Drosophila melanogaster: one gene and its partners. The protein of the gene in region 2 interacts with the protein of the main gene of each other region in a pairwise test. Each region holds a gene or a part of one and is shown on either strand. Other genes may lie near its edges.

Region 1 (8,207 bases), about 13 Mb from region 2:
GGTTATTTTTGGCCGTTATTCATTACTTCGCGCCGAGTACCGACGCACCCAATGTTGTGGGGGTTGTTCGTAAGCAGAGATGCTTCAAGGACTCCACTCCCGCACTCACTCGACGTAAGTATGTGTGTGTATGTGAAGGCCTGTCTGTGTGTTACAGCCCACGGTTGTAAATCCCACGTAACTGTAAATTTTATGTCAAGCTATTTTCCTTTTCGTATGCAGACTCAAATGCTAAACGACATTTTGGCACTTTGCTTGTATCGTTATGGGTGATTGGCAATAGTCGAGCTTCGATTCCAGTCGATTATTATTTAGTTTATGCAAATTATGTATAAATGCTTCGGAAACTAAGGGAAAAAAGCACCGTTACGTCCTGGGAAAAACTACAACTTCTGATGTGTTTAACTGCTGCTTTTCACAGGAACCTTTCCGATTTTATTTTTTTTCTCTGCCTGTGTATAGGTATGCGATGTGTGAGCTTCGGTGGTAGTGAGAAAAGCATGCGGCAGAATTTAGTCAACTAAGGATGCGCGGACACGGATGAAAAGAAACGTCCGTCGCCGTCGAAAGTAAAAAAGCTAATGACGGGATGCGCAGTTACGTATGACTGCTAGGAGATGCCACTTGCAGTTTAGCCACTTAACTGGGTAACTGTAATTTCAAGACCTTGTAAGAATAGGCTTCTATTGTTTTCCTAACGTTTTTTTCAGCTATTACAATAAACGCAAAACGCTCTCAGCCCAAAAGTAAGCTACTTTGCAAGATATTTACGTTCCCCTTCCAGCGCTTTGCAGCACTGACAACGCATCTGTGAGCGCCAGCTGTCTTTCCGCCCATCTGGCAACTCTATCAAAATTATTTGTTGTTCTAAGAAACATGCGTTGCTATTACGAGGAGCTCGAGCTCCAAAGAAACGCCAACGATGGGGACATCAAGAGTGCGTACCGTAAGATGGCCCTGCGCTGGCACCCGGACAAGAATCCCGACCGACTGGCGGAGGCCAAAGAGCGCTTCCAGCTGATCCAGCAAGCGTATGAAGTTCTGTCTGATCCTCAGGAACGGTCTTGGTACGACAACCATCGCGAGCAGATCTTGCGCGGCAAGAACTCCGATTATGCGGAGAACTGCCTGGACGTGTTCCAGTTCTTCACGAGCTCCTGTTACAAGGGCTATGGCGACAATGAGCACGGCTTTTACCGCGTGTACACCGATGTCTTCGTCCAAATCGCCTCGGAGGACTTAGAGTTCATGGACAAGGACGACCGGTTGGGGATGGCGCCTGACTTTGGTCATTCAAACAGTAGTTACGAAGATGTGGTGGGTCCGTTCTACGCCTTTTGGCAGGCATACAGTACCCGGAAGACCTACGACTGGCTGTGTCCCTACGATGTTCGCGAAATAAAAGAGCGCTTTATCCTACGCAAGGTGGAGAAGGAGATGAAAAAGATCGTTCAGGCTGCCCGCAAGGAACGCAACGAAGAGGTGGGCGATGAATTCCCTTTTTTTTCTTCCGAGACACATTTTACTTACCTCATTTACTTAGGTTCGCAACTTAGTCAACTTTGTGCGAAAAAGGGATCCCAGAGTGCAGGCCTACAGGCGCATGCTTGAGGAACGCGTCGAGGCCAATCGACTTAAGCAGGAGGAGAAGCGCAAAGAGCAGTTAAGGAAGCGCCAGGAAGAACTGGCAGCCGTCAGGAAAAATAATGTCTTTAACGAGGGCTACGAGGAGCAGCTAAAGCAGTTAGAGCAGCAGTACGATAGCAAGTCAGAAGATTACACGGATGAAGACGAGAACGACGACGATGGCGAGGACTTTGACCATGAAGGCGGCCAGGAAGCCGAGGAGTACGAAGTGGAGTATGTAGACGATCTTTACTGCGTGGCATGCAACAAGACATTTAAAAACGCCAAGGCGCGTGCTAATCACGAAGAAAGCAAGAAGCATAATGAAAATGTCGACCGGCTGTGTCAGGAAATGGAGGAAGAAGAGGACGCTTTCCACAATGAACCCCATGAAGACAGTTTAATGGGCGTACAGGAATCGCTGGAAGAATTGCAAGTCTCTGAGGATCAGATATCTTTCGACGGGGTTCCAAGCGAAGAAGAATCTTCGCTAGCCAAACGAACCAAAAAAAACAAAAAGGCAAGGAAGTCAGCTGTCAAGCAAGCGCAGGCGGAAGGCAGTGACGAACCAGATGAGCCAATAGAAAAGAAGGCAATCAAGAGCGAGTCAGAGGATGAAGACTGGAGTAAAGGCAAAAAAGCGAGCAAAAAGAGTAAAAGCAAAAAGACGACGACTAGGAAGGTTAAGCTATTAGAGCAAACTGTTTCGGAACCGAATACAAAGGAGGCAACAGTGGCTCCCAAAAGCGGAGATGAGGACCTCGACCCGACCAAGTCGCAACACACTTGTGTTACCTGTAGGCTTGTCTTTGACTCCAAGAACAAGCTGTTTGCCCACCTAAAGAAGACGAACCATGGTGTCTACATACCTAAGGCAAAGCCTAATGTTGAGGGCAAGCCTCCTGGCAAAGCTAAGGGCAAGCGCAACAAGTAGGGTCGTATAGATATCCACCCACACCTTGTATCTATACTGTAGAATGTTAAAAGTTTATTTATGCTAATGATAAATTTAATTCGAGAATGAAGTTAAGTATGCTCGCTCCAAGTCAGATAGTGTTCTTATTGTATTCAAAGGCAGCTACGGAATACAGACCAGTTTACTGCCCGCCTCCACGCGTCTGCGAACTCGAGTTCGCATATTGGAAGACTCTGCCTTTAGGCTTATACCGGCGGCAGTAAATGTTAGGAGTACCCCAATGATTCCGCAGTAGAATGAAACTCCTGTAAGGATTAAGTTTAGTAAGTTTCTAAGAAAAGTTTCAAAGAATTACCTATGCTACAGTCGGCGGGGTAAAAGGGTTCGGCATCCATGCCGCATAGACGTTGAATCCGGTTCGCTCGCCATCCCATCGGATGCAGAAATAGACCCAACATCATACATATTCCTATAAACAATGCAAACTTAAATGCTGCGAGGATATCACAGTAATGGTTGCTTACCTGCTACGACCTGGGCGCAGGCCGTCATGTTGTGTATGCTCTTGCCACAGGCCGACTGGCGGCAGCAGGTGATCAGGGTCAGGATCACCGTTACAGAGAGTAGACTAAATCCCAGCATGACGAAGAACATTGCCGCTTTCCATTCGTTGGGGTAAACGCTACTGTCCGTGGCCAGTCCGTCCAAGTCGAAGCGGCCGCATTGGAATCCGCCCTCCTGCATGACCTTGCAGCGCGTGTAGATGCCCACCGAGGATTGGTGGTGAGAGCTGGCGGTGGAGTCTGTTCCTTGGGCGGGGCCCACCAGCCACCTGGGCGTGACCAGGGCCACAGCAAAGAGCATGTCGGCCACCAGCGAACAGAGGAACCACACCAGACTGGCGATGGTGATAATAACGTAGCACATTTTGATGCACCAGATTTTTCGGAGTACACAGATTTAGCGATCGACGACGGGCGATCGCAACGCGTCAGCACTTGCCGGATAGATAATAGACTCTAAGCGCTCTTACTTTGTCTGGGCACGCACATCCCACACCCACTTTGCCGTCACCCACCACCACCGTCGCACCACTCGCCACCACCAGCAGCGCGGGGCCAGACCAGAACTTCCTCCCAGCTGACCAGCCCGAAATGGAATTGTTTATTTTATGTTTTCGCCGCTCGCTGTTATGCGGTGCCTTTCTGCCGTCTGTTTTATGTTATTCACCCCACACTCACACGCGAGCGGAGGTTGACTGTGGGATAGGGGGAGCACGAGGGCGAGGGCGAGGCGGTAGACCGCGCAGTCCGCGGCTCTGTCAAGAACAAAATTCGCAGCTGACGTCGAAGCGAAGGGAAATAGAGTCTAGCGGGAAAATAACTCTGCCTCGATGGCGTTTTCGCTAATCCCCCAAGCGGCTGCAGCTATTTGGCAACTTTATTCCACACTCTGGAACTTTGGATCTGAGCTTCTGTTCGCGCAGGCGTGTCTGCTGCCGTTCCTCGCCAGCGTCATCTCTCGCCGACTCCGACCGACCGAATGAATGGAGCCCATTAAAGCCAGCTGCAGTCGCAAACGGAGCCAGGCCCCAATCGGAGCACTGGAAGAAAAGGTTTGGTGCATCAAATCGTAATAATCGAGTTCTAAGTTGGTTTATGCGTTACGTATTTATCGTATAAATTTAAATCAGCCGGAAGAATTTAAGAAACTGAATGACTATGTTTGGTAAGAATGTTTACTTAGAGGAAATAATTAATATAAAATATTGTAATTTAATGAGGAATTTTTTTCGAATGTATTTTGTATATTTTTAAATGTTGATGTTTTCAGTGCCTTATGCAGATGTGGGCGCCGATTTCTCATTGAGAGCGTGGAAATCCAGACATTCCGAATTCAGAATCAGTCCTCGAATAGCTCTCCCTGGCTCTCTGCACACGCGTTCGAGTTGGATCCAATCTGTCGACTCCACCACCACCAACCCCACCATTGCCTCCACCCCCGTTCGGGTGAGTAATGCACGCCGCCGCTTCGATTCGGGCTGATCATGTGCAATTCCGATCGAAACGATCTTCGGTCGAGCGGTTATCAGTTGGCCGAGTGTGTTGGGGGCCATTGCGTCATCCGCACTGTGTTTGTGCACAGTGATCGTGACCGAGGCCGTAATGAGATCCGTACACAAAGTGCGCAGCCTCCGGAAAGCACTTTCACTCTCCCTTTCGTTGCCTGAACCAATCCGCGGCTCATCACTTGCCATTAGCCGAGATGTCGCGCCGGATGGTCTTCCTACAGTTGCTGCTGTGGGCAGTAGTAGAGGGTCACTATTACTACGACTACGGCTACTGGGAGATCAACGAGCCTTCACAGCTTTGCTCCGACTACGAAATGCTGGTGGTCAACACCCGCCAGTGCGTAAGGCGCTGCAACATCGTCTGCCTGAATGGAGTGTGCTTCGAGGACGGATCCTGTCCCTGTGCCGATCAGTATATGGCGGGTAATCCGGATGGTTTGGTGTGTGCCGCAGAGTGCCTCCCCGGGTGCGTGGCGGCAGGTGGCTACTGCGCCGCACCAGATCTCTGTGTGTGCCGTGAGGACAGGCACTACTACTTTGATCCCCTCTCCCAAAAGTGCCGCCACAGGGCTCCCCGTCTGCTGGACCCCTGCCTTGGGTGAGTATGATTCTTGCTCCTCACCTTATCGCTTAGGAAGTGTACATACATACGTATGCGTTTATGTGCCCTTTCTCATTTCCAGGCGCTGCACACATGGCAACTGCTCCTCCGACGGACGGTGCATCTGTGCCCAGGGATACGAGCTAAGGGACAGCCTGCTTCATGGACAGCAATGCATGCCAATCTGTGATCAGTAAGTTTGATTGTCGCTATATCTTTTCGCCACACTTGCCCTAAACTGTACCTCCAGCAACTGCGGACCACGAGCTTACTGCTTCGCTCCTAACTTGTGTGCCTGCCGGCACAAACAGCACCATTATGCTCACAACGGCATCTGCTCCGGGAACTATTGACCTAGAGAGGAGGTTTGACAGCAATGGGGCTGTTTTAGGTCCCGCTGATGTCGTATGGATTTTAATATATGTATTTATTGTTTAGGTTCATGATTATTTATGAATTAAGCTACAAGACTATGTTACTCTTTTTATTGATTTAAAATTTTTATGGAAAGGCAATCTTGTCTTTAGAAACTGTAAGGAATAACATAAAATATAAAAACAGCTTTAATCGCCTCATAAAGTAACCTATAATTTGTCCATATTAAAATACCAACTTCAAAAACGCATTATGCATATGTATTATATCGATTTATCTAACCTGAGGAAATATGAGAAGCACTAACTTTATTGAGTGCTTACCCTTTCATAATGAATGGGCAACAATATACAATATGTAGTTACGCTTGATAGTTCGTATTGAGTCCGAAAACTAAAATGCCTTACCTTTCGCAGGGCACAATTCAGAGAGCGCAGTGAGATTTTGATTTTAAAGAGCGCATGTCAACTGGTTTGGTTTTGGTGTTGTTGTTGCCGCACCCCCTCCCCCACCTATCAACCAATCAATTACAAAGAGACTTTGTTATTGTTTATAACAAATCGGACACATGGAAGTGCAGAATATTACAATATACAGTATACGATTTCCGATCCCCACCGATCAGCAGAGAAACTGAAGAAGACATGCGTACGTGTTCTCCAGAGGCGTCGCCAGCGAACTAAAATGCTGCTAGGGGGGGGTATCATAGAGGGAGCGTGGATCTCAAGAGGGACTTCTGTGCTCAGATGTTATTAGGCCATTGATAATGCCCGAATTTTAGAGTGTTTGTGCTTGCGGGGCCTATAATATTTCGGGTATTTCAACTAACCCACACCCCCCCCCAGAGGATATTTCTTAGATAAAGACCAGTCGGCAGAACCGTCATTTTTAGCTTTGCGCGTGTGGCGTGTTATTGTTTTACTTGTTGTTGTTCCACTAGAGGCGGGCCTCTTGGTCTTGACGACAAGGCACACTGGGCAGAGTCAGTAAACAGGGCAAATAATATTTTCTTCCTTTTTCCAATTTTGATGAAATTGGATATATACCATAATTATTATTTAAGAATTGCTTTTCCACGTAGTGTCGACTAATACTTTCATATGCAATATATTTATATAAGTTGAACCAATAACACGTTGTGACTTTGCTCCACTGTGCCAGAAGCAATAACAACAACAACAGTGGCAGGCGGCAGCACCGTGTCCGCCGACGTTGTTCTCCATCACGATTTAGTTGGAGTTTTGCTGGCCATCGGCGCGGTTGTATCTCTGCTGGAGCTCGTGCACACTATCCTATCCAATCCCGAAGAGCTCTCTCGCCTTTGCTTAGTGCAGCAATTTGCAATTTTAATTATCTGCAGGCGGTTCGACAAGAAAATGGGCCAAGCAAAGGTAAGCTGATTAAGAGTGCAGCACAATGTGAAGCCCACGCACACATGCACACTTTTAGCTTGTGTATACGCATCCCTTATCCTTCGTCCTTGGCAAGTGGGCAGCCCCAAATGGAAAGCGTGTAAAAGCCTGAGAGCTTGGGAACTAAATTTAAGGCATTTTAAGTTATCCGATCCATCGGAGGGTTATCAGATAGTTTATTGGAATTTTTAAGATATCTACATATGTATGAGTGTGAGCTGATGCCTGTTCTGGGTTATGTAAGCGGATTCGCCAAGATGCTTTGATGCAACCGTTTGATGACATTGATTTAAGGCCGCTTGCGTGTGTTATCCATTTACTGCAATGATTAAACCGATTTAAGCAATTATTAATGTGCCAATTACATGTGTACAGATAGCGAGTGTCTCCATACATATGTACCTGTGGAGGCGTAACTGCTGCGCAGTTTGTGAGGCACGCACTCAGCCCCAAAAATACGAAACAGCTACGTACATATATTAGCAACAATAACAGACTTTAAGAATAAACGTGTGAATGCACGAAACCGGTTGAGCCATCCCATTCTCGCCCAAAAAGCGGTTCAGCTGAGAATCTCGCCAAACACCGAGACGTTTCGTGAACCTTATCAATAACTTGCGGGGGCTAGCCAGTGGAAAGTGTTCGGATCCCTGATCCCTGATAAGCCACGGCGATCGATTGATACCAGTAGAGCAAACTCTCACAAGATACCACCAGTTTATCAGATCTCTAACCTAACCCTACTTATCTGTCTTTACGCCACACCCACCTCTCACGCACTCCACAGAAAGTCTCCTCCGCCTTGAGCAAGCTCTTCGTGTACGGCGCCCTCAAGTACGGACAGCCCAGCAACTCAATCCTGGCCAGCTCTGGCAACGGCTTCGCTAAGTTCTGGTGCAAGGCGACCACCACCCAAAAGCTGCCGCTAGTGATCGCCACCCGCTACAACATTCCCTTCCTGCTGAACAAGCCCGGAGTGGGATATTACGTAACAGGGGAGATCTACGAGGTGGACGATCGAATGCTGAATTCCCTGGACAACCTGGAGGATTGCGAGGAGATCTACACTCGCGAGATGCACGATATGAACATTGGCGTTGGAGAAGGGTGAGCATTAGTCGGATCTGACGTCATTTCAGCAATGTGGTGTGATGGGTCACAATTTCCTTTCCAGAACCGTTCCATGCTGGGTGTACCTGCTGCAGA
Region 2 (6,715 bases):
TGCAGTGGTGGGTCTTGGTTGAGGCCTGGCTGAGGTTCTGGGCACTACAACTGCTGCTCCACCACCACCTGCCCCGGATCCACCTCCACCACCACCACCACCGCCACCACCGCCTCCACCACCCCTGTTCTTGTCCCCCACATAGCGACCTGCATCGCCGGAGTAATCCCCACCAGGACGATCGTCGTGCTTGTACTTGTTGTCCATGTGCACGTAGCGTCCATCGTTGCCACCCGAGTATCGTCCATCGCCTCCACCGCGATAACGTCCATCGTTACCGCCGCGGTACCTACCATCTCCGGCACTCGCCCTTGTCGGCGGAGGACGATACCGTCCATCGTTTTGGGCCAGAACGGCAGCCGCAAGGGCTATAACTAGAACGATCTGCATGGGAATGCATATTAAATTTTGAGGTATCTGAGGTAAGTCAAACTCACCGCTACGCGCAGCCACATCGTCGAAGATGAGCAATGAAAAGATCTAGCCGTCGGCCCCCAGCTTTATATCTTTCGGATGCACCCCCATACGCCCACATATCTAAGCAGCATCCAGCATCCACTACGAGTGGATTGCTGTGTCTAATTGCAACTGATCCGACCGGTGACTTGATCAATTAAGCGTCTTGGTTTACGGGGCGATTAATTCATAATTTGTTGGAAGGCTGCTTTCCGATCTGATGGCTCAGCGATAGAAACGATTCAATGGAGATGCATTGCAGCGTTCTCCACCTGGAACAGCCGGCTGTTGAAACTTCTTGGAGGTACTACCACGATATTCGGACGTTGTCCACGTTTCTTGAAAAGATAATACAATTCCAAGCCGCTTCAACTTCATTTATGCCAAATGCCTGAAACTAGGCAACATAATATTGCGTGCCCTGTAATGATCATTAAAGCTGACTGAATGGATAAAGATCTTTCCATTTGGAATAGAGTGCCGCACTAGCTAATGAAATTATTATCGATTAAGTCTACTATGAGTTTAATGATATCCATTTAATATAATATTAATCACAAGCATGATTAGATTGGCCAATATTATACATCGAAAATGAAAATCTATGGAAAAGTTATGCATGTATTCTAACGCATTTATTTGGTTTACTTTCTTCAGGTTCAGTTGAACTTAAGTCTTTGCAAATCTTATCTAGAAAAATCAGGCTGTTTTACCATCCCCCTCATTAAAGAACAAGTATGAATAAGGTTTTCCCGACCACACGCGCCTAGCCCATAAAATCAGAATATTCAGTACATATTTTGATTCACGAGGGTAAGGTCAAGGAATTGGACCCAAGTGAGTTAAATCTTATCTGAATACGGGTTATTTCCAATATATTTACAATCGCATAAGAAATCGATCCAAACGCAAAAGTAAATTGGAAATCAATACATCATTAGTCATTAGATCGCAAGACGTCATCGTTTGATTGCATATCTGCCACTTGATTAAGTCTACTAAAGTCAGTATTAAATTCCACAGCTAAATCATTTGCTAATCATTGAAAATCCACTCTGCATTTGTTGTTGTATGGCCAGTTTTATTGTTCATTCGCACACGTTTTGTAATTGAGTAGAACCAGGTAATTCGATTGTAGAAGTCGATGTGATTACCTAACCACGTCGGTTGTTGAACCCGCCGGGCTGCTCTTGTGGCGGCGGCGGAGCGGTGGCCAAGTAGGCCAATGCCTTCTGGATTGCAGGCGGGATGGGTGGCGGCGTGGGCAGGTGGTCGCCCTGCGGCTGGAAGCCATTCTCGTCCGCCAGATAGGTTATCCGAATCGGAATGCCCTCGGGTGAGGTGTACGAGAAGGAGCCCTGTGCGACCTTTGGAGCGGTAAAAGGGCAAATGCAAGTTAGTGCTCGTTTCGTTTGGCCAACTGGTAGCCGGCAAATGCCAGGCACGACTGTGAATGGAGTTCTCCTACACCCACCTGGCCGGCATTATCGGTGCCTGGATTCTTGAGGTAGCCCTCCTCCTCGGCGTTGATGCCGTTGCCCGTCTCGTACAGATACTTGTAGGAGCCGTCGAAGTTGACCTCCTGCTCCTGTCTGATAATTGGAATGGGTTCTCCCGGCGCTTGGCCTCTCACTTGTGGTCTGGCCTGGGCCAAGCTGAGCAGCAGGGCTGCTATGAAGAGCAGCTGAAAGCACGCGGATGCGATATCAGCATGGAGTATACCCAAGTTGATCTCTTCCATCTTACTGTGTATTGCATGTCGAACCGAGCTGTATCCTGTGATCCTGGGTCCTGGTCGTCTGCTCCGAGTTCGTCTCGATCCGTTACTGTGGTCAACAGAGGCGACTCTTTGCATATTTATACCAAATCGCTTGAACTTTTGCACACAGACACTATTGCAGTTGGAGATTAAAGAGTGAACGCCTAGCATTTTGAAGACCCGCCGATCGGAAGCCTCTTTTAGGTGGCTCTTGTCGGAGGCCAATACCATCTCCCATGGAGCGCAAATGAACCGAACCGGACCGGACCGAATCGAATCGAATCCACCTACAAGTGCACGACCCATCCGATATGCTGCAATTTGTCGAATGAGTTGTCTACATGACAGCCACAGTGGGGACTCTACTTTATCATTAGAGCAAAGAAAAATATAGTTTAGTATAATATCTCACAACATTAAGTTGTTATGCTGGAAGTTATCATCAGCACAGTTGCATCTTCAATTGCTTGCTGCAATAGAAACTATCCTAGCTAGCCATCGCCCACTGTGCACCTGTATTGCGAGGGGCGTTGGAGGCACTATGATCATCTCGGATCGTGTTGAACATGACCAGCTTGACATTCATAACTCATCCTCGGCAGCGTGAGAGGAATAGGGACAGACTGCTGCATTCCTACATCAATTTGTCAGTGCAGTCATTAGACATTTGACTCAACGGCTTGATGATCATCATTGGCGGGATTATGACTGCCACCTGACCATGATCATGTCTGGCTGGCCAACTGACTTACTCACCAGCTAACTGAATGTGGCAAGTGCCGCTTGACCTTTGCGGCAGCCGAACAGATGTTTCTTGAACAGGTCCGGCCAAAAGGCGGTAATGCCTGAGCCGGGGCGTTCCGTTGCCAGTTGAGCAAATGTCAGTTACCGCCGAAGTAGAAATGGAGGTGGAGGTGGAAGTAAAGCCCCAAATGTCCCACCGCCCAATGCTACGTGAGATGGTTAACTTCGATTGCGGTATTGTGTGAGAGCAAGAGACGGCGCTTGTTTGTTTTTTGGTATTTGGTGTTTTTATTTGGCTATTCAGGTGATGAGGATCGTATCAAGTGGCAGCATCGTGGATCGGATGGGCGGCTCTATCCGGACTTCTTGTTGAACAGCAGGGACAGGAGCTGTTGCTTGATTGGCTTAGTGGTGGTGGTGTCCGTGGTGTAGGTGTAGGTGGGGTAGGTCGGGGTGGTAGTATAGGTGTACGTCGTCGTCGTGGGCGAAGAGGGCGTTGTGGGAGTGCTGGTTGTAGTTGCGGTAGATGCCATTGCGATGGCCAGGACAGCGGAGAAACAGACGAGGACAGCGAAGAACTTCATGTTGATTGGATTTTTTGGGCTTTTAGGATTGCTGGCTGGCTGTTGCTTATCGACGGACGAGCTGCTGAACTCTGAGTGTGTCTTTCGCTGGTCCAGGCCTCACTATTTATACCCATATTTTGACTGCGGCAGTCGTAGTATTCCCTGTAATGTTTGCACAAATGGTTCCTTTACCGTTTGCTACATTGCTAGCTTTCCCCCACCAATGTTTACCGACCAACTCATTGTGAAATGCATCCAATGTTTGATCCCCTTCCATTTTCCGAAAAATAAAAGTTTTTCGGGTTGGGAGTGTCAATGACTTGGTATTCTTATTAGCTAACTATCCTAGAATATATGCCGTTCGTAGCTACTGGGCCACTCCATCGAGAAGGCAAAGTCCGGAAGTGTGGCAAGGAACTCCAGGCTCAACGCATCCCGCTTATCATGTGGACTGACATAGTGTCCAGAGACGCCCATCTCAAAGACGGGTTCATTGAAGTTGCCATCGTCCTTCTAAGAATCAGTTAGTTAGTATAGTTATCAGAACGACCCATTAAATACGCACAGAAAGTTCCACGAAGAATTCGATGGGAGTGTTATCAATACCGTAGGTTAACATGACCTCCAGAGGAGGCCTGTAAGTGGCCGGATTATCCAGCATTGCGGGAGCAAACGTCCATCGGAGTAGTTTTACACCATCCAGTGGCTTGAAGAACAGACCCATATTTGGCGGACCAGTTAGCCGGAACTCATAGCGCACCTGATAGCCACCGGACAGAACTGTCTTGCTAAGGAACTCCAAGACCGTTGGATAAGGCAGTTCCACGGGCTCCTCTCGAGCAAGCCAAAGTGCATGCTCCCGGGCACTACAATATCGGTAGCAGGGAATACCGCACATCAGCTCGGAGTCGCAATCCTCGCCCAGGCGTACCAGGTTGGTCAGGTTCATGTGATCGCGCAGAGGTGCCTCTTTGTTTCGATCCCCCAGATGGAAGTAGTAGCCAGAATCCTCGTGGCTGATGGAACCATTGTACTCGAAAAATTTGCGATGCACTTGCTGCTCCGACAAAGAATAGAACTTAGTCGTCTTTCAAAGGATGCTTATTAGTGTTTCCCTTACCATGAAGTCGGCACGCATGACATTTGTTTTGGGCCGATACGGGAATCCGACATCCGAGACGGCAATCATGCAGAAAATAAACATAACCAGTGCCAGACCACCCAGCATGCAGTTCGGTCGCCGAAAGACATTGATTAAAGGAGCCTAAGTGAAACTGATTAAGTAAAGTAGTCAATAAATGTGAATAACTTTCTTACAGCAAAAGATAACGCCAAAATTGTGCCAAAACCACATAGAGCGCCGATTAGTATATCCGGATTGGTGGAGACGCCAAAGCGACCAGTCATCGGAATGAGAATAAGTATGAACATGTGGAACAAGTAGGCGTGGTAAATGAAGGGTATAATCTGGAAAACAATCAGCACCAGTGACCACAGATAACCTAAAGTGTTGGCATGAATCATTAAAAGTTCTCCACGAATATATAAGCTAACTTACCGCGACAATGGAGACGGGTCAGTAGGTTAATGATCAGAGCAGCAACGTAGAAAATGAGAGAGATCAGAAATAGATAGGCACTACGGTATTTAAGAGCCGTTGCACCCAAACACAAGATGGCCAAAAGGACACAGTTCGCGTGACCCACAATATGCAAGTAATAAGTATGGGGGATCTTGTTCTGCAGAGGATAGCTTAGTATAACAAAATAACTTCGTTAACAAGTGATACTACTTACACACTTCGTATGCGTCAAGTAGAGGGTCATGGGCAGTACAAGGCCAATAACCGATGGACAAATGTACAACCCAATGACCAGCCAACTGTTGCTAAAATAGGTCAACGTTCTATTTCCCCAATCATAAAAGGTGGCCATCAGCAGAGGAAAGGCCACGGCGAGGAGAGCACCAGCTAGGGCTAGCAGGAATAGGAGTCCAAAGACGCCGGCATAGGTGCCCATAGTCTGTCCAGTAACCCGGGACATTCGCCACAACGAGATGCAGACCAGCAAAATGGCACCGAACGAGAAGAAGAGATTCAGGGCCAAGCTAGTCGACTCCTGGTAATGGACAAAGAACAGTCCAATAAAGTCGAAGAATACTGCATGTCCCGCCGCGTGTGCCTGTTGAAAGATTACCATGAAAAATGGACAAAAGCCACTCGAAAGAGGAAACCCACCTCTGTGTCGTACATTTCTTCGGCATTCGAAATACTCCATACCAAGGCCAGTAAATTGTCGCCGGAATTCTGCAGGGAATCGAGACTTATCACCGCGTAGCGATCGAATTTCGTGTGATAAACGAATCCATTGTACACGCCGGCCATGTCCAAGCCTGAAAGAGAAGAGCTCCTGAGTAGTGTGGTTGAAAAGGATATTTTCTTGCGCCGAGATTCCCACCTGGCACAACTCCAAAGTCCCGAAAGATCCGGAAATCAGTATCCGATGGTATGATACCAGCCTCGAACATCTCCTCGGCCGTTGTGGTGGCGAACGGGTGCGGGGCACTGTTTCTGTAATGCTAAGATAAGGCGGAAGATTAGATTAATTGATCAGCAGCCAGACGGGTGATATAGCAGCCCCCATATCGGAAATGCGATCAGAGCATTCCCAAATATATGAATCACCAATGGCGTTGCCGACTTTCGGGGGGTTTTTAGCTCCACAAACAGGGGAACTTACCTCCATCAGCCAGGGATGATTGGGACCGCCCTGGAAGAGCAAATCACGTCCACCAGCGCCAGCGGAATCCAAGTTCAGTAGAGCCCTGTTTGGATAGCGGATTAGAGATTCCGGTGATCTCCGCCTGAGACTCAAACTCACTTGCAGTTGGCAGCCCATCTGTGCTGCGTGATGAAACCATGTGATCCCTGCATTGGCTGCTCTTCGGCACCATTGAAAAGGAATATAATCGGATGCAGGAAGGGATCCCCTGAAACGGCGACCAGACGCAGTACCTCCAGCATTACGACAACCATGGCAGCATCATCTCCGGCACCTGTGGACAATAGTTATTGAAGGCCTATCCGAAATGCAGTCCATCATTAGACTCACCAGGTGAACCCGGCTTGGTATCGTAGTGACTATTGACCAAAAGGTAGGAGGTGCTATTTGAGCTCTTCGTACTCAGTCTA
Region 3 (8,769 bases), on a different chromosome or scaffold from region 2:
CTATTGACATGACAGTTGTTTAATGATTTATGTGAGCACTCGTCAATATCGGAACAGGTACCGTTATGCAAGCTGAATCCTTTATCACAAGATTGAATTTTAACGCATTTACGATCTTTGCATTTGTAATCATCTAAGTGAATAGAACGCACTTCAAATTAAAAAAGCTAAAATAATAAGATTAAAGGAATGCTATAGATCGGATTTTTAATTTTCAGATACCGGATTAAGACTGATTAAAAACTAAAATAATACAATTTAAAAATGCTATATATAAGTTTTTTAAACTTTCAGATATCCGAACCGATTCATAGCTTATACCTGTACTCGCAGAGATAAAGGGCATACACGACATATTGAAAAATATGTTACAGGGGTGTGCTCTTTATTTCACGCCCGCAAACCGCCAAAACTGGAACACCCGACACTTTTAGGAAACGTTGTCATTTTTGTTATTTAATTGTTAGTCTTTTAAATACATATGCCAAAAAAGTTTAAGCCACGCCCACGGCCGAAAGCTGCCCAAATTGGCAGCACATTTGTGGATGGAATGTGTTTATTGTATAAATTTTAATTTTAAAATATCCCATTACCCATCCTAGCAGAGTAAAACTGATAGTCCAGTTTAGTCTAGACTATCTAGTTTTATCTGTATTTCAAACAGTTTTTAAAATTACCTTTACATGCATCGTAATCATGGTCATAATGAAATCCTGGTGGACACTCTTTTTCTTTCACATTTAAGCAGTGGTATCCGCCATTCGTATTATGGCAATATTGGGATGATTTGCAGTCATGAAGATCTTCCCGGCATTCATCAATGTCAATGCATTTGTTATCCAGTTTATCTAAATTGTAACCGCTGGGACATATTTGGGTTTTCATCGGAGAGCATGTTACGTTGTTATTATCTAACATAAACCCGGGGTGGCACTTACATTGGTATGCGTCGAAAGTGTTTTCGCATATGTGAGCGCAAAGGTTTTCAATTTTTCCACATATGTCATCTACCAATGAGTACAATTAATTATGATTTCAAATGATACACAAATAAGATATACTTACCATCGCCGGTAAGAACAATAGTTACATTCATATCCTCTTCAGAAACAAACGGCAATTCACCTTCATCAGTAATAGAATTAGCCTTATCGATTTCGTCGATACCGGGCTGGTCTTTAAAGTCAGCAGATCCGTAACAGCACGCTCGGTATGATTCAATTAAGAAAATAAATGAAAATAATGGATCTTTGCAATTGGCTTTACTCGCTTTAACTGCTAATCCGATTTGACAAGAACGACAACATGTCGCATAGGAGCTAGATGTTACATTTCCTTCTCCGTCACAGCGAGTACCGTCTAAAGCAGCCAGTCGACCTAGCTCGCAATCTTGATGGTCCAGTTCTCGAGAACAGCAGACTTCAAGTGTAGAATGACAAAGTCCAAGCCAGAGCTGCGGGATTATTGTTGGGGCTATGTCGATTTTTTTGCAAGAGGCGGTCGTACGAGCATGTCGAAGTCCATTTATACAGCATTTTCGTATATAACCCGATATGCTGTCTTAAAACAAAATAAAACTTTCACTTTCGCTTGATCACAGGATATTTTAAGCCAGAGTATATATTGGTAAAAATCAAAAGGTTTCAACTCTATAAGTATTCTTAGTCAGTATCAACACATGAGTCCATATGGTGATGTCCCTTGCCCGAGGCTAGCATTCTTTTTCGTCATTTATCAATTTCATATCCGAAATCTAAATACCTTAGTGTGGTAATAATTTTAAAGCCTTATAACATAATAACTTAATAACTTAATAACTTAATAACTTAATAACTTAATAACTTAATAACTTAATAACTTAATAACTTAATAACTTAATAACTTAATAACTTAATAACTTAATAACTTAATAACTTAATAACTTAATAACTTAACAACTTAATAACTTAATAACTTAATAACTTAATAACTTAATAACTTAATAACTTAATAACTTAATAACTTAATAACTTAATAACTTAATAACTTAATAACTTAATAACTTAATAACTTAATAACTTAATAACTTAATAACTTAATAACTTAATAACTTAATAACTTAATAACTTAATAACTTAATAACTTAATAACTTAATAACTTAATAACTTAATAACTTAATAACTTAATAACTTAATAACTTAATAACTTAATAACTTAATAACTTAATAACTTTATAACTTTATAACTTTATAACTTTATAACTTTATAACTTAATAACTTAATAACTTAATAACTTAATAACTTAATAACTTTATAACTTAATAACTTTATAACTTTATAACTTTATAACTTTATAACTTTATAACTTAATAACTTAATAACTTAATAACTTAATAACTTAATAACTTAATAACTTAATAACTTAATAACTTAATAACTTAATAACTTAATAACTTAATAACTTAATAACTTAATAACTTAATAACTTAATAACTTAATAACTTAATAACTTAATAACTTAATAACTTAATAACTTAATAACTTAATAACTTAATAACTTAATAACTTAATAACTTAATAACTTAATAACTTAATAACTTAATAACTTAATAACTTAATAACTTAATAACTTAATAACTTAATAACTTAATAACTTAATAACTTAATAACTTAATAACTTAATAACTTAATAACTTAATAACTTAATAACTTAATAACTTAATAACTTAATAACTTAATAACTTTATAACTTTATAACTTTATAACTTAATAACTTTATAACTAACCTAATACAATTTTAAAGATTTGCCCAAAATATACAATGGGCGGTTTCAGTAGGCAGGTACATATATAAATATTCATATCTATTGACATATAAGCAAGTATACTACACATTACTTACCACTGGCCATTGTGGTGGTGACATGCCCTCCAACTATCAAGAAACACATAAAAGCACATAGTTTATAAAACATAACGGGTTCAGAAATCAAATCCGGGTAAAAAATAAAATTAATATAAAGATGGGAGCTTTAAATGAACAGGTCAGGCAATGAATGAGAAAATAAAGAACGCTCATGTGCATACGCTATCTGGAATTATCTCAGTCACTTAGCAGCGCACACATGCATGTTTGTATATGCTTGTATGTATGTATAGCAAATATATAATTTTAGAACGAAGAGGATTTAAGACTGAAACGCGTGTGGGCCAAAGCAAGCTGTTGACATATGTATGTACATATGTATGTATATAAGCCTACGCTATACGTTACATGTATTTACGTACATAAATATGTTTATTGTTCGACGACCTGCTGTTATATTTTCTTATTAAACACACTTTTATTTGCTAATCCCAGGTTTTGTGAATTGGAGCAATGTGAATTATTGAAACTAGGTAAAGGTAGCAGAAAACGTTTAAGATATGATCAATATACATACATACATATGTTCATTCAATTTGGTCACATTCTTCTCTGGCATCCTGAGCAAGTGCTCTGACCGAGATTCGGGGGTTCGCAATCACTATTCGTATAATAATGCGGTCTACGCGCTTGATAATTTTGGTTGTGCGCCAACCGACTCTTAGGTTCAAGCCTCTCCTCTTTTTCCGTGCGATTTAAAACATTGTAGACGGTCGTACGGGATACAGAAAACATTTCTACTAATTCTGGAATAGATTTTCCCAACTGGTGGTTATAGTTTATTAATTGGGTAACTTAAACAATTAATCTCTTTCCAGGCATTTTATCAAATTTAATAATTTACTTTAAGCACGTTCGATCAGCAAAATTTCACAAGCAAAGTCAAAAAATTTCAATAGAAGCGTAAAAATGCAATACAAAAACCAACCACGGAAAAACCAAACCAACCAAAAACCACGGAAAAATCGAGTTAGTTCTAAGAAAAAAAACAAGACAAAGTACGAAAACAAAATGTGTAGAGTTTCTTGACTTGTATATTTAATATTTTAATTTGTTTTTTGATTTATTAGTATAATAAATATTGTTTAATTAAATTTCATAAAAAAATTCCGTTTAATTAAGCAAATAACTCTTAATTTTTACCATTAAAGCCAAAAATTCAACTTATTTCACAGTGTGCAAACAGTTTCTTGACAAACTGTATGTATATCTCGGTAAAACCAAAGACACTATTTTAGTGTCTAGACACTATTCTAGTGTCTTTGGTACAACCATACCTGCTTAACTGTGACCGTCGTTTTGTCCGCTCTTTAAAATTTGAATTTTTTATTATATTTTATATTTTATTATACATACATACCTACGTTTTATAATAACTATACACAGATAAACGATGACCGACGGGGGCAAAGAGCTTAAAATCGGCTAGCAATCTAGATCAACAACATACATATATATGTAAGTGTTTACTTATAGGGTCGGAAATGGTGGCTTATATGTAAATATATATACATACAAATATATATACTTTTTTTTGGCGCAGACTATTTACCCCTATTACCCATCAAACCAAACCAACTCTTAAAGATGTGAAAAAAAGTGACGATCGAACAATCTACATGCAAGGATCTGATGTCAACATTTGAATTCATTCAACACTCTTTAAAACAATATTTATTTATTTTTTTAAAACTTATTTATATAAATCATTTGATGGAATTGAAATAATAGCTGTTTTTGCCAGCAAATAGATTGAGATATTGAATATAATACAAATTTTCTTGATCAATCAAAACCATTTGAAAAAATTGATGAAAGTTAAAATTTTTGTTAATACTGAGGATTATATTGCTCATGGTTAGTTTAGAAAAAACTCGTAAAACTCAATACCGATTAAAATTTGGGACAGGTCCGATAGTGAAATTAAGGCTACACGTTTGAATGAAATGCGAAACAAAAGAACAAATTCAAACAATTTCGGCTGGTGGAGATCAAGACAACACATAGATAGATACATACCTACATAGTTGAAAAAGCTTTAAAACAAAGCTTAAGCGTTGTCACAATACCTTACAAAAAAGCTCTGATCTGCATCAACAAGCATGTAAAAGATATTTTAAACATACATACATTAAATCAGTCTTTAAACGTTGGTAGATCTGGTCGATTGATTCCATAGAGTACATTTTTGAGAATTATTTATTTAATATTCAGCTAGGATGCAGTCTATGACTATCTTTAATATAATTACACAGTTAGTTTTTTTATCGAAGACTTTAAATGGAAACTTAAGTGTTCAACCAGTTTTCCAAACACTTGATGGCTATGAATATACTTCGCAGTCGTTTTCGCAAAACTTACAGAGTGAAAGTCAACTGGAGATCGTTTATGAATGGAAATATTTGGATTTCCTATACTCAACTTTTGTGCAACGCCAACAATCTATTTTAAATGGGTAACAAAACAATTTGGTTATAACAGTTTCTTACAAATCAAGAGATAATTTGAAAAATGTATTAATATTAATAACAAATTGTAGTACTAGTAAAAAAATCAAAAAATACGCCTTTAATAAATTTAAAATGCTTGTATTGTGAGAGGTATAAAAGAAAATTCGAAAAATAAACTATTTGACGCTCTTATGTCACAAATAGTCGAGATCCCCGACTATCAGATATCCGTTAATCAGCTCGTGGAACTGCGAATGCGAAAAAAAATTAACAAATTAATATCTTATCTCGAAAACTATAGGAGACTAGTTCTTATAAATACTTTCTTTTCATTCGAATCATTCAGTGCGTCTCATCCATATCTTTAATATTGATGAATAAATCCTAGCATTATCTCTAATGCTATAGTCGAGATCCCCGACTATCAGAATCCCGTTACACAGCTAGGGAAAATGCAAATGCAAATAAAGATCGACGTACATGGCCAGTTCGACTTGGCTATTGATCCTTATAAAGAATATTGTATATGACCATATAGAACATGGTCAGAAACGCTTCCTTCTGGCTGTTACAGACTGTTACATAAAGGATTATCATAATCTGGCTTTATGTGTTATTCTACTGCGCTGAATTTACTGTCTAATTATTATAATATATTAATATTTACAGAGACTTTGTACCAAAAAATAATTTACCTTTAGGCATTGATGTCCATAATAACCGCCTGTTTGTGACAACTCCTCGTTGGAAGAATGGTGTGCCTGCTAGCTTAGGTACACTGCCCTTTCCTCCAAAAGAGTCAAGCCCGGCAATAAAGCCGTATCCAAACTGGGAGGCTCATGGAAATCCAAACAATCCTGACTGCTCAAAACTGATGTCAGTTTATCGAACAGCTGTAGATAGGTGTGATCGAATTTGGCTAATTGATTCTGGAATTGTCAATGCTACAATAAACTTAAATCAGATCTGCCCACCAAAAATTGTTGTGTATGATCTTAAAAGTGACGAACTGATTGTTCGATACAATTTGGAAGCTTCTCATGTGAAGCAAGATTCGTTGCACTCCAATATTGTTGTGGATATTGGAGAAGATTGCGATGATGCGCATGCTATCGTATCGGATGTATGGAGATTTGGTCTACTTGTTTACAGCCTATCAAAAAACCGCAGCTGGCGCGTGACCAACTATAACTTTTATCCGGATCCCTTTGCTTCGGATTTTAATGTATACGGATTAAATTTTCAATGGCTGGATGGTGTTTTTGGAATGAGTATATATTACAATAAGAAAATAATGGAACGCGTTCTTTATTTTCATCCAATGGCAAGTTTCAAGGTGAGTATAAGGAGTATATAAATAAAGACAAGAAAATGGCTGGGAATTGATTTGATATTGATTTTAAAAAATGCCTTTCTTAACATTGTCTTTATTGTCTAAATAATGGCTCGCCGACTTACTTTTAAAAACCCCTCCTACAGCTTACTACTTGATCAGTCTTACTTAAGGTACTTAAATAAATCTAAATCTTAAGTAAGCTAATTATCTGCAGCTTGTAGGGTCCGAAAAGGCTTATTTCTGTTTTATTTTTATTAACCAAACTAGCAATCCCTTATACTCTACGAGTAACTGATATAATAATAATAATAATTGTGATTATAATACTTTCTCATTTAGGAGTTCATGGTGCCTATGAATATCTTGTTAAACGAATCTGTGTGGCAAACGAATACTCAAGAGTACGCCAAGTACTTCATACCAATTGGAGACCGCGGATATAATTCTCAATCATCTACATCAGGAGTTACAAGGAATGGCATTATGTTTTTTACACAAGTTCATCAAGATGATATTGGATGCTGGGATACATCGAAACCATACACTCGAGCACATTTGGGAAAATTTCATAATATGGAAAACTCAAATCTTATTCAATTTCCAAATGATTTAAAAGTAGACAAAGAAAAAGATCAAAATGTATGGCTTATAAGTAACCGACTACCAATTTTTCTATACAGCAATCTAGATTATGGAGAAGTAAATTTTCGAATTTTAAAGGCGAATGTAAATAAGATTATTCGCAATAGTGTTTGCAATCCGGATAATAGTTATATTAATACATCAAAGTCAGCTTTTGTGTTGATAGAAGAAGGACAGTGTTTTTGAAAACTATGGTAAATAAACAATTACACAACAAAATGTTGTAAATTTTTGAACAACCTTGGTATTTGCGTCCGTTACAAATGATACTCTAGTACCTTTTTTGAAGGTTTGGGTCTAACAGATTTTTGCGCTTTGTTGTGTCCAAGCAATTAACTAAATTGACTAAAAGAATAACAGTTTTTAAACGTGTACGAGTTCCAAATTGGCATAAGATCGGACTTTTAAGAACATACGTATCTAAAATTAGCTTTCTAGCTTTTAAAATTTTAAAGATCACGAAATTAAAATGGACGTACATTGCTAGATCAACTTGGCTTGCGATTCTGCTCGAATATTCGAAGTATATTCTTTATGGGTCAGCAGTTCTTCCCTCCGCCATTCTAGTTTTCAACGAATGAATATTAGGGTTCAAATTCAAACGTGTATACAATTGTTTGTAATATATTTATATTTTTTAGTCGTACTGTGAAAGGTTATATCCAATTGTAAGAAGTAACAGGTAGGGAGCGTGTTCTTTCTTCTATTGTATCTTCAAGTTCGTGTTATCGTCATTAGTTTCCTCTGAAAGTGGTTTGATTTTGGGTGTACTTAATATAACATCTCTAAAAGAGAATATTACTATCTATAAAGAAATATCGAACATCAATGGATATATGTATATTCATGTTACAGTATTTTCTCGAGATATTACTTTGAATATAATCAAATTTGGGCGATGTTAACTTAAAGATGGTTCGCACTTTACTCATTCGTAAATTTAAGTTTTAAAAACAAGGTATGTATGTAAGTGCATATAAGACACTGCGACTTATAACTATAAAAATAGTAAATAAAGTACTCCGTTCCAATAAAAGGGGCTCTCATCGATGCGCTTGTTTGCCGAACAAAGATGCTGTATACATACGTATAAATTTACGAGAAAATATTTTTGTATTTGTGAAAATAAATGTATTTGTGTGTGACTTTTAAATACACATTTCCCAAATTGCTGTATGCGAACGAGCCGATAATCAAGTAAATAAGCATGTGGACAGTGTGGAAGCTATCTTTGATGTGCAATCATATTCTTAAAGGCAGGCGCATGAATTCATGTTCATTCTATTGGCCTATACGGATTTTAGTTGTATTATTATCTTTCAATAATTCGATACTACAGTATTGTTTGCAGTAAATATTTTTTTAAACAAATAACATTGGGAAATAGGCAAGTGAAAAGATATATTTGATATATGTACGTGTAAATTATTATTAT

What was found. The genes of interacting proteins can lie anywhere in the genome.
Region 1: the proteins of CG13159 (region 2) and CG15861 interact in a two-hybrid assay, tested with the Drosophila melanogaster proteins (one large-scale study listed by BioGRID).
Region 3: the proteins of CG13159 (region 2) and CG31999 interact in a two-hybrid assay, tested with the Drosophila melanogaster proteins (one large-scale study listed by BioGRID).

Annotation. Positions count from the first base shown.
Region 1 is NT_033778.4:24,941,023-24,949,229, reverse strand, and holds CG15861 (uncharacterized protein), read left to right. Parts: upstream 1-4,028; 5' UTR 4,029-4,270; intron 4,271-4,375; 5' UTR 4,376-4,807; coding exon 4,808-5,211; intron 5,212-5,296; coding exon 5,297-5,407; intron 5,408-5,464; coding exon 5,465-5,567; 3' UTR 5,568-5,838; downstream 5,839-8,207. Other genes in the region: CG2790 (uncharacterized protein), read left to right, coding at 877-1,482, 1,544-2,560; CG3770 (uncharacterized protein), read right to left, coding at 2,705-2,847, 2,898-3,011, 3,067-3,469; Tina-1 (troponin C-akin-1), read left to right, coding at 6,966-6,980, 7,789-8,108, 8,176-8,207.
Region 2 is NT_033778.4:12,372,197-12,378,911, reverse strand, and holds CG13159 (uncharacterized protein), read right to left. Parts: upstream 3,627-6,715; 5' UTR 3,544-3,626; coding exon 3,313-3,543; 3' UTR 3,234-3,312; downstream 1-3,233. Other genes in the region: Cpr49Ab (cuticular protein 49Ab), read right to left, coding at 1-384, 438-455; Cpr49Aa (cuticular protein 49Aa), read right to left, coding at 1,611-1,823, 1,931-2,140, 2,203-2,214; CG13160 (uncharacterized protein), read right to left, coding at 3,871-4,038, 4,091-4,582, 4,646-4,789, 4,843-5,027, 5,084-5,264, 5,322-5,705, 5,762-5,916, 5,982-6,102 and 3 more.
Region 3 is NC_004353.4:222,880-231,648, forward strand, and holds the start of CG31999 (uncharacterized protein), read right to left. Parts: upstream 4,870-8,769; 5' UTR 4,797-4,869; intron 3,672-4,796; 5' UTR 2,956-3,671; coding exon 2,883-2,955; intron 1,561-2,882; coding exon 1,066-1,560; intron 1,008-1,065; coding exon 678-1,007; intron 134-677; coding exon 1-133. Other genes in the region: yellow-h, read left to right, coding at 5,126-5,361, 6,026-6,692, 7,032-7,520.